Xenopus tropicalis: one gene and its partners. The main gene of each other region encodes a partner of the protein of the gene in region 2 in a complex. Links are inferred from orthologs where the notes say so. Each region holds a gene or a part of one and is shown on either strand. Other genes may lie near its edges.

What was found.
Region 1: the proteins of nfkb1 (region 2) and nfkbia are in contact, whole or in part, in a crystal structure (PDB 1NFI), measured with the Homo sapiens proteins. The link is inferred for Xenopus tropicalis from reciprocal best matches to the Homo sapiens genes NFKB1 and NFKBIA. Residues at the interface, in NP_001158884.1 of Homo sapiens: Lys251, Ile252, Val253, Arg254, Met255, Asp256, Arg257, Thr258, Ala259, Pro326, Lys345, Leu348, Tyr350, Ile353; in NP_065390.1 of Homo sapiens: Asn108, Asn109, Leu110, Gln111, Arg140, Tyr181, Pro214, Cys215, Asn216, Arg218, Tyr248, Gln249.
Region 3: the proteins of nfkb1 (region 2) and uncharacterized protein LOC100170420 are in contact, whole or in part, in an NMR structure (PDB 1MDI), measured with the Homo sapiens proteins. The link is inferred for Xenopus tropicalis from reciprocal best matches to the Homo sapiens genes NFKB1 and TXN. Residues at the interface, in NP_001158884.1 of Homo sapiens: Arg56, Phe57, Arg58, Tyr59, Val60, Cys61, Glu62, Gly63, Pro64; in NP_003320.2 of Homo sapiens: Thr30, Trp31, Cys32, Pro34, Met37, Ile38, Asp58, Val59, Asp60, Asp61, Gln63, Ala66, Ser67, Val71, Lys72, Pro75, Ser90, Gly91, Ala92.

What each region holds. Positions count from the first base shown.
Region 1 is NC_030684.2:109,511,895-109,515,853, reverse strand, and holds the start of nfkbia (NF-kappa-B inhibitor alpha), read left to right. Parts: upstream 1-1,159; 5' UTR 1,160-1,279; coding exon 1,280-1,515; intron 1,516-2,685; coding exon 2,686-2,794; intron 2,795-3,146; coding exon 3,147-3,354; intron 3,355-3,457; coding exon 3,458-3,546; intron 3,547-3,659; coding exon 3,660-3,920; intron 3,921-3,959. UniProt on the Homo sapiens protein: Inhibits the activity of dimeric NF-kappa-B/REL complexes by trapping REL (RELA/p65 and NFKB1/p50) dimers in the cytoplasm by masking their nuclear localization signals.
Region 2 is NC_030677.2:73,607,267-73,610,027, forward strand, and holds the end of nfkb1 (nuclear factor NF-kappa-B p105 subunit), read right to left. Parts: intron 2,753-2,761; coding exon 2,599-2,752; intron 1,209-2,598; coding exon 1,027-1,208; 3' UTR 501-1,026; downstream 1-500.
Region 3 is NC_030677.2:116,011,451-116,015,555, reverse strand, and holds the start of uncharacterized protein LOC100170420, read right to left. Parts: upstream 2,801-4,105; 5' UTR 2,763-2,800; coding exon 2,739-2,762; intron 1-2,738. UniProt on the Homo sapiens protein: Participates in various redox reactions through the reversible oxidation of its active center dithiol to a disulfide and catalyzes dithiol-disulfide exchange reactions.

The DNA of each region.
Region 1 (3,959 bases), on a different chromosome or scaffold from region 2:
CCCATTGCTCCGTATGGGAGCAAAATTTTGAAATTTGCGTGCGGCGGGGCAGCATGCCGCCCCTATGTTTATGCCGCCCTAGGCCCGGGCCTGGGCACATCACTAGTGCAGAGCGCACAATAGTATAGTCAAAGTATTCCATGATGTTTTTGGTTTACTACTTTTATTCCCACACAAGAATTACGGACAGATAACCTTCGGCAAATGGCAATTAAGTTATTTCACCTAAGCAAGGTACCTGAAACTATTATCGTTATAAAAATAATAACTATTAAATTCATACAATCTCATTTCATCCCAACAATAATGCACAAAGGGGCTTATGTTTTTTTTAAAGCAAATGCAAACTGCAATTAGGATTGCCACCTGGAGGTTATTATACTGGCCTGACCAGTTAAAATACTGCAATATCCCAATGTTAACTGGGTAGAGAGATGAAAATTTAGGAAGACCTGTATTTCTTTCCAGTGGGAAAGCCTTACTACAATGCACAAAAGAGTGCAAAATTCCATGTTTCACCCACAATGCAACGTTATTCCCCAGAATCCCAGTGTAATCTTGCTGCTTATGACGCAATTTTTGCAGCCTTTTGGGGAACATTGCGCGAAAGTTGCATTGTTTGTAAACCCCTCGTTTCTGGAAGTTGCTGAAATAAAACAAAATGGCATTAGCATCAATCATTAGGTGCAAGTCGGTTGTGTGTGTGGGTTAAGGTGCAAAATGCAAATGGCTCCCCGGACGTTGAGCTCTTATGTATTTAGCATAATATCAATAGTCTGTCAGACGAAGGTATATTTAACGCATATAAATGCCGAGTATGATGTGGGGAACTAATGTGTATTTTTGCCCGAATCCCCCCAGTGTGTCCCAGGAATGGTGAGTGTGCTGAGAGGAATGTACATGGAGTAGCTGCGCACGTCTGAAAAAAGGGAATTTCTGAGCCTTGTACATATTTCTGCGCTCTTCCTTTTATTGTACCACAGAACTGGCTCCGTCAGGTTCATTGTGTTCCTATACTGACTTATTCTTGGAATTTCCCAGAGTACATAATAGTTCACAAGTAGGAAACTGAGCTCGGCTCCACCCAGAAAAAACCCCGGCTGTATATGTAAAAGTAGCCTGCTGGGGGAGGGAGCTGCCAGATCGCTACCAGAAGTCGCTCTGATCGGATGGGATTAGTATAGAGGAGGCTACAGCTACAGAACTTCACTATCGCAACTGGGATTCTACAGTGTCTTCTAAGCTATTTTGCGGGGAAGCTCAACAACCGGCCGCCGCCATGTCTGTGCCTTTTCACGATTACCAAGGGAATATGATGGAGGGAGAAGCTAGGGATCTCCGGAAGGACAAACTGCTGCAGGACGATCGCATTGATAGCGGCCTGGACTCCCTGAAGGAGGAGGAATACACGGCTATCATTACTGACCTCAGCAACATGAGAATGGAGGGCCCGCCGGACACATCGAACTATGAGCCGGAGCCATGGAAGAAAGAGGTCAACGAAGATGGAGACACGTAAGTGATAGAGAATGGGTTCGTTATATGGCTGGGGATTGTGCTCAGTATCTACTGATATTGTATAGGGGCGATGAACCTTAGTATTAGTACATCTAAAACCATTACATCTGCCTTGCACAGTGTATATACTGATAAAGGGATAGTACTCTATAGTGCTGCACTAATATATATATATATATAACAGGGACACCTAGGTTTGGGGCAGTGTTTAGTGTAGGATATGTAGATATTTACTAATGCATGACTTCTTTATGGTGAATGCACAGTTAGGTGCATGGGGCAGGCTACACTGCATAACACTGCAATTTATTGTGCAGCTTTTTCATGCAACCATAAACATGCAGTATTAGTAAGTTGTGCAAATAGTTAAAAACCCTTGTGCTTTTAATGCTTTTTTTATATCATGCATTGGTATTTGCAAGCATGCAGCAACGCCGGGCAGCTGTTAGATGGCTTGGTGCATGTTTGTTCTTGGTAGGGGAATTTTTTTGTTGGTGCAGAAGAGACGCCATATCTGTCTGGGTTTTCCCTTCTTCGTGTGAGCTGGAGGGAGGGGGGGTGGGAGGACACCTTGTTCTCTGACTTGCTGCCTCAGAGGGGTGGGGGCTGGCAGGCACCCAGGGGCAGGACTCTGGCTTTGGAAAGTCCCTGGCCAGTAGCCAGGAACACAACTGCACACACACACACTCTCACACTCACAGCAGAAAGCGGAAAACAACAGACAGATCTAGAGAAGAAAAAATCCCCAGACTTACACAATTGCATAGTTGGCTGGGGGAGGGGGAAGTACACACTTGTGTCACCACTGACTAGTATTGCAGCTCACCGACATGCCGCTATGATGAAATAGGTTCATTATGAATTATTATTTCCTATTGCTTGGCAGTTTCTAAATTTATGAAGTTTTATTCACCTCGATCTTTCCCACACACTGAACCTTAACACCACTTCACTTACTGGTTCCCAAAGGGGAGGGGGGGGTACATTTTCTACTTCTGAATGATGAAATAGTAAATACAGAAATGACATTTTGTAATAAGATGCTAAGATTGGAAAGCTAGTTTGTCATTTCCCATAAACCTGCTAGTTCATCTTTTCTTTTTTTATGGTTAAATGACACAAATTTGCTTCTCTATTTTAACATGTCCTTTTTATGTTCCCTTCTAGGTTTCTCCATTTGGCAATTATCCATGAAGAGAAAACCCTGGTGAAGGAGGCAATCCAACGTTCATACAGGGACCATTTTTACCTGAACAAGCAGAATAATCTGCACCAGGTAATTTACTTTTTATTTTTTTTCTAAACCTTGTAAAAACTTTATTTCTAGATTAGCTTGTCATGTGCCACCATTGTCGGTTAGGGCAGGGCTGTCCAACTGGAGGCCCGTGGGCCGGATGTGGCCCTCCAAAGGAATTTTAACATATAAAGTATAATAGAGGGCCAGTTTGTGGAATAATTGACCTATGACATGTAAGTTGGCCAGCACTTAAAATATTAATAGTCAGTGCACTCATAGCATGTTCATGAGGGATAGAATATAGTACAAGCTTATTCTGCAAGTTCAATTTTGTGTTTAATGAGAATGAATTTACTGATTTTTCTTTTTTTTTTTAATGTCTTTTCTGCAGACAGCACTACATCTGGCAGTAATCACCGAACAACAAGACATCAGCCAGTCACTTCTCCAGGCTGGTTGTGATCCAGAAATCCAAGACTTCTGTGGCAACACCGCCTTGCACATTGCCTGCAAGCAGGGCTCGCTTCGGGGAGTTGGGGTCATTTTCCAGTATTGTGAGAAACAACTGCCAGCACTTCTGCAATCTGTGAACTATGATGGTATGTATCAAACTTAATCTATAAACCTTTAGACGTGTGTTGTTGTGCTACTTGGCAAATTAGAATTAGAACTGCCTTGCTAATATCTTTCTTTCCGATGCAGGTCACACGTGCCTCCACCTGGCATCGATCCATGGCTATCTTGCAATTGTGGAAAATCTCATTAATAAGGGGGCTGATATAAATGCCCAGGTCAGTATTCCCCCTACTTCACTTGGCTACATACTGATGTTTCTTCCTGCCATGTCTATTGGATTCAATTTTGCCTCTAGATCTAAGAGAAATTTCTGTTTCCCTCACCACAGGAGCCTTGCAATGGTCGCACTGTGCTGCATATGGCCGTGGACCTGCAGAACTACGACCTGATGAAACTGCTGCTTAAGCACGGAGCAGATGTAAACAGAGTCACGTACCAAGGCTACTCTCCGTGCCAGCTCACATGGGGCAGAAATAACATGCTGATTCAACAACAGCTGGTTGAAGTGACACACAAGAATTTGCAGTACCTTCCAGAGAGTGAAGAGGAAGACAGTTCTGACTCCGAATATGAATATAATGATGATGAGGTGAGACCTAGAGACGAGTTCATCATAGTAATGGCATGG
Region 2 (2,761 bases):
ATTTCTAGCCATATTCATTTTTAGGGTTTAGTTCTCCTTTAAGTATCTAATATTCAAGTTTTTGAATCAGAATTCAAATATTTGGAGTTTTAGCACAAAAAATAGTGGAAAAAATTTGTTGTTAACCCCACCCCCCCAATATCCAGTCATTTTTATATTTTTAAATTGTGCCATGTTATATCAGTTATAATTATTGCTTAGTGATGTAATTTCTGTCACTTGACTTGATTATATTGTACTTCCTGTTTTAAAATATGAGGATATTAGAAGTCACCTTAAAATTCCATGACCTGTATTAAAGCATTTGGCTTCACCCTTGTGTTTTTTTTTATATGGTCATGGTAATTACACATAGAACCAATTTACAAACATAAAAACAAAATTGCCCTATTGCATTAACAGCCAGCATCCAATCAGAACACTTTCATTTTCTTACTGTGTTCACATAATTAACAGGCTAACAAAGACTGGACAAATACAAAACAGTTTTCTCCTTTTTTTGATAAACATCTTTCCTTTATCATTTTATTATAAAACACACAATAAAAATTAAATTTCAGAAAAATATATAATATTTACTGTAGTAAACCAAGGCATAAAACATTATTAAATGATTGCTAGCCATTCTTAATATATTGCCAACATTTGCAAATGACAGTAACTTAACTGGGAAGTTTAATTTCTGAATTGTTTTTTGAATCGTGTAGTTTTCTGATGGTGTATAATAGGAACTCATGCAGAATCCATAGAGACTTTAAACCAACATGATTCAATAAGTAAATATGCAACATCCTAATTCAATTAGGGATAAGCAATACACAGAGTGTGATGCCCAGAACCCAGAAGCTTAGGTCCTTAAAAGTTGCATATATATAATTATATATATTCTTTTCGCTAGCTTACTATATGCATGAGCAAAGAAGTGTTTTAAATTGTACCAGGCCCAGGCTTTCTTGAATATCCAGTGTATTTGTTCAAGCTGCTGAGCCTCGCTGTGCATGTAAGACAGAGTCCAACACTTGCCTATCACTTGTTGCAGATGAGAGTACAGTCTGGTTCCTGGGAAAACTTTGGGCAAACTGTCTCTGTCTCCTTCAGAGATTCCGAATATGAAAGGCTCAGTTTCTGAAAGGATGTCTCTACGCCACTGTCGCACGTACTATCAGTGTCCTGCAGCTTAAGGTAACCAACATCGAACATGGGGGAATCTGCACAAAGTGTCATTTCAAAGGAAGAAATCAGTTATAATGAATTAGCTGCATAAAAATTATATGCGCATATTTATAAAATATTAAGTTGATGCAACTCTCTTTAAAAGAGATCAGTACTCCTTTTTACCACTTCAGTTCCCTGCAGGGGTCTCCCTCCCAAACCGCCATTATTTATTTCTTTTTATCACACACCTACTAATCAGCTCTTCTCATTATGCTATGGCAGTAACTATATTCTATTACCATTACTAGGAGTCAGTTTGGTCTTTTTCTCTCATTTCTATTCTATGTGATCGCTTGATACTGACTAAATATTTGATAAACACAGTACAGAATGCTCAGGACCTGGGGTTTTCCGGATAAGGGATCTTTTACTTAAGTCTGCTAAAAATAATTTATATATTGAATAAACCCAATAGGCTTTTTTGCCCCCAATAAGGATTAATTATAGCTTAGTTGGGATCAAGTACAAGGTACTGTTTTATTATTACAGAGAAAAAGAAAATCATTTTTAAAAATTATAATTATTTGCTTATAATGGAGGTGACCTTTCCCTAATTCGGAACATTCTGGATAATGGGTTTCCGGATAAGGGGTCCCATACCTGTACTGCTTCTCTTAGAAATGCAACTTGTTTATAGTTTGTGCTACTCTTTTAGTAAGACTTTCCGTCAGATTATGGACATCATTTGGGTGATTTGTTCCCATTCAGTCTTTTCACGAGTGTTGATTTGGTTTGAGATCAGACAAGTTCTTTAACTCCCATCTTTGCAAACCTAAAACCTCTTCTGCGTGACCCTTATTTTGTGCGTGGGGACATTATTGGTCTAAAACACTTACAACTTGCTTTCAGTGGGAACTAGGGACCCTAACCATTATTCCTCTCTATCGTTGCCATTTTGCATGCAGGCAGGAACTGTTCTCCTGACTTTTCCATGACACTGCTAGATAATAAAATTTAATTTATTAATCCAGAGTCCAATTGCGGTGGCCTTTATACCATCCCTGCTGACATTTGGCATTGCACAAGGTGTTGTAAGGTTTATTTTCCTCTAATCACCCATAAAAATCCCTAAACTCCCTGTAAATAGCTCTTGTGCAAAGACTGACTCCAGAGACAGTTTAGAACTCTCCAGCGAGTGTTCCAACTGAGAAAAACATTCTAGATGGAACATTGTGATAGGAAACTGGAGTACCTAGAGGAAACCCACATAGATGCAGAGGGACCATACAAATTCCTTGCAGATAGTGCCGAGGCCAGATTGAACTGAAGCCCCAATGGCTACAAAGCAGATGTGCTACCAACTGAATGACCTTGCTCAGTGTGTAACACAAACTGTGGTAAGTGAGAATGTTATACACACAATGGAACATCACATATATTCACCTCTTCTCTGTGCAGGAAGCAGTGCCTCTGAAGATGGCGTAGAAGTCCCAGACAGCTTAAGGATAGCTTGTGACTGCTCAATGGCCTCAACAGCTTCAGTGTAATGCATCAGTTTTAAGGCATCCAGGAGTTCTGTCATGGTTCCACCAGAAACCTTCAACAA
Region 3 (4,105 bases), about 42 Mb from region 2:
AATAAATGAAAGTGATTATTACTTTGACTGTTTAATAAACATGCAAACAATGTTAGTAAATTTATGAATGGATGTGTCCAGGAAACCCGACACAAAGCAGGGGCTACCAATTGCCCCTCTGGTAACCCGAATGGAAATCATCTGGTTCTGCACAGTGCTCTCATGGACCAGATGATGATCATTCAGAAATATTCACTGCTGTATTTCTGAGTGATTATCCATTTAAAAGAACAGAGTGCAATTCACTTAAATGGATTTGCTTAAATGCCAATTTGGAGTGTTTCTCTAATGGAGAATCACCCTGTACGAGTGCCCTAAAAGTACAAAAGCACTCAGTACCCAAAGAGAAAGCTAGGGAGAAATAAACAATTACACAAATATTTATTTAAAATAAATAGCTATATATATATATATATATATATATATATAGCTATCTCATCTGGCAAAAGCACCCTCATCACAAAACCCATGATAAATATATGAAGCCTATGTAGTGTAATAATTACAATCAAACTTGTACCTTTACTGGAGCTTCCCATAAATCTTCCCCAGTTACAAATCAGCGATGACTGTACAGCTGCCCAGTAAGTCAAAACTGCCCATGCCAATATATCCACTAGATACCCAATCCCCTCCCATTTATTAGCAAACCACACCCTTTCATGGCAGCTCTCTGACAACTACATCAAACTGCAGTGGCGGTGCGCAAGATAAAGGCTGGCTGGCATCCTTTAAGGCAAAGGGCTGCCATTGCTCAACAGCCTGGGAAAGTGCCCAAGAGATGCTGAAAGGCTTGGCAGCATAAACAATTCTTAAATCAGTTTTTATTAAAACAGTGCACAAAAGTTTTAAATGAGTTTTTCTTCTATTTTTGGTGTATAATACCACGGCAAATACTTATTACTTTTTCACTATATGTCATCTTTAATAGACAGTTGCCCATTAAAGCTAAATTTTAGTATGTTATAGAATTACCTATTCTAAGCAAATTTTCAATCGTCTTCATTATTTATTTGTTATAGTTTTTTTTTTTTTTATTATTATTATTTGCAACCTTCTTCCAGCTCTTTGCAGTTTTCAAATGGGGGTCACTGACCCCAGCAGCCAAAAAAACCCCGATTGCTCTGTGAGGTGACAGTTTTATCGTTACTCTTTGTAACTTTCTTTTCTATTCAGGCCCTCTCCTATTCATACTTCAGTCACTTATCCACACCACTCCCTGGTTGCTAAGGTAACTTGGACCCTAGCAACCAAATAACTGCTGAAAATTCAAACTGGAAAGCTCCTGAACTGAAATATCTAAAAAAAACTACAAAAAAAAAATAGAAGAAGACCAATCGTAAATTGTTTCAGAATATTACTCTCTATATCATACTAAAAGTTAACCCAAAGGTGAACAAGCGCTTTAAGCGAGTCTTCTGGTTTCCAATAACCATGAATGAGGCTCAGGAATGTTAGCATTATTTGAGAAGCAAATCTGTCAAGCAGTTCAACTTAACTGTGGAAAATGATCCCAACAAATTAACATCTATGAAAATTCTATGGAAAAACTGAAGTGTGTTCTTAAAATCATTCTTTCTTGCATCCATTCTTATCTTAATAGAGGTGAAATTCTAATCCAACTAGTTCACCCAACCTGAGCCAGTCACATCTGAAAGTACCCTTTTTATCTCCATGAGGCCTAAACCAGAAAATATTAAACAGGATGAATTTTGAGCAACATAACCTACTCAGTTTCAATTATACAACATTTTCTTTTATTTCTTTTAGTAGGGTATGTTGAGAATGCATGGGAGTATGCAATTTTTAAGTCTTCTTCTAGATAGTGTGCTACTCGGTAGCAATTAAACCAAATGCAGGTTAAAAGTGAACCCTTGAAGATTTAGATATTGGATTACAAACTGGCCTAACAGTGTTGATGTTGATTCTGCTTGAATCAACATCAAAATGCAATCTCATCCTGTCCTGGGTCAGCTGATTAACCTCTTACATACTGACTGGCATTATCACCCAAGCTGTATTTCTTGTTAGGAAGGTCAGCGCTGGTGTACTCATTCAAAACACTTGTTCTGAGGACCCTGATCTGGAGCAGTGTTAATATTAGTCTTTTAGAAAGAAGTCAAATTAATGTGTGTCGGAAAGCCTTAACTAGTTAACAGAAAATGCTGCAATAGTGCAAAGTTTGCCCCAGGTAGAATACCCATAGCAACCAGTCAGCAGATAGCATGCATAGGTCTACTGCAGTTTGAATAATGAAAGGAAACATTTAATAGCTTGGGGAGGGTCAGAAGCCCTAAAGCAAACTTTGAACCTACTTTTGCTTTGGTTAGTATGTTCTTTGTATTTAGCCACCCAAAGTGCAAAAAAAACCATTTTGAAATGGGTAATATACGTAGACTACTAGTTACCTAGCTATTTTACATTGGGTCAGTAATTAATTTAGGATGAGGGTTCCTTTAAGTGCTGTAGCAGCCACTCTTCCCCTACCTACCACAACTTTAATAATCCGAATATAAACGAATAGGAACATCTGAATGAATGTTATTTTTGGGTTAGTAGAATTCAAACGGAATGTGTTGCTCATGCTGTTTGCATTTGCCAGCCATGCTGAATAAGGATGCACTAGCTCCTCTGTCCCCGTTTCCCCTCATGCTAAAGGAAAATAAGAAGCCTGTACTTTCCAAGCATCTTTCTCAGTCAAGCAACTTACAACGTTCATGATACAATTAATTGCTTACCAAACTTTCAACGTGTCGAACCATTTTGGACAGTGGCGACGGCCGACTTCTTCAAACTCAGCGTGACACAGCAAAGCACTAACCTCAGGAGATAAGTCTAGCAATTACCGGGAGGGGAGGGGCCCGCGAATGGGCGGGGCTAGTGTATAGCGTATACAACAATATCTTTCTATTCTAGCAAAGTAAAAAAAGGCGCGGTCTAGAGCGCAATGGGCGGGTCACTAAGCTATCCGAGCCAATAAAGAGAGGCCAGCGTTGTAAAGGCGTGGTCAAAATCAGCGCCTTCACGTGAGGACTACGCACAACAAGGGAGTCTGGGCAATGGGTGCGGCTAGGGACCACTGGCCGCATTATGGCGTCAGGGGAAGATGGCGGTAGGATATTCCGAGAAGAGGGAGTGGACTGTAGGAAATGCGCCAAGTTCAGTAAGGCTAGAACAGCCTCGTGTGAACTGGGACAAGTGGGAGGAGGCGCGTATAACGGTTCCTAGCGAAGGGGCGAGGTTAATAGCAGAAAATTACTCGTGACTTGGTTCCCAAGGCGCCTTGTGTAGCTTAGTGCCCGCTTTTGTTGGCGGATTTAGAACGTGGCTGCTGCTGCTCGCCTCGGTGTTTTATAAGCAATAAATGAATTGGTACTATAAGATTATTCGGGTTTAGCTATGGTATGAAGTTAACTAACTGAGGTCAAAAGTAATAGCAACGTGAGTTAAAATGAAATACAGGAGTTATTTATTCCTAGAAAATGTCATGTGGAGAGTCAGAGTTCAGTGTGGGTCCATTCATGTCGGTAGTATAAATGTTGTTGCCAGTGGCTAATTTTTGGGTACATATATTTTTATTTTCTTGGGAACCTAAATAGAAATTAGCTGTATCTATATTTATAGGGGGTATCTATACACTTTCTTTTTATAACTGTCCCTGTTTAAAAGGAGCAGATAAAAGGTTATAGGGTTGCATTTTTTATATTTGCTGATGTTATTAATAGCCAAGAAACATAAAAGCAAGCAAGTAATGGTATAGGAACCCTTATCCAGAATGCTCAGGGCCCAGGGTATTCCGGATAAGGGGTCTTTCCTTAACTTGGATCTCCATACCTTAAGTCTAAAAAATCAATAAAATATTAATTAAACCCAATAGGGTTGTTTTGCATCCAGTAAGGATTATTTATATCTTAGTAGGGATCAAGCACAAGATACTGTTTTATTACTACAGAGAAAAAGGAAATGAGTTTCACAATTCTGAATTATTTGATTAAAATGGAATCTATGGGGGACAGGCTTAATGTAATTCAGAGAACAGATTTCCAGATAAGGGATCCTATACCTGTTCATGTGAAAAGGTTGCTACCTTACAGCAACGCATGAC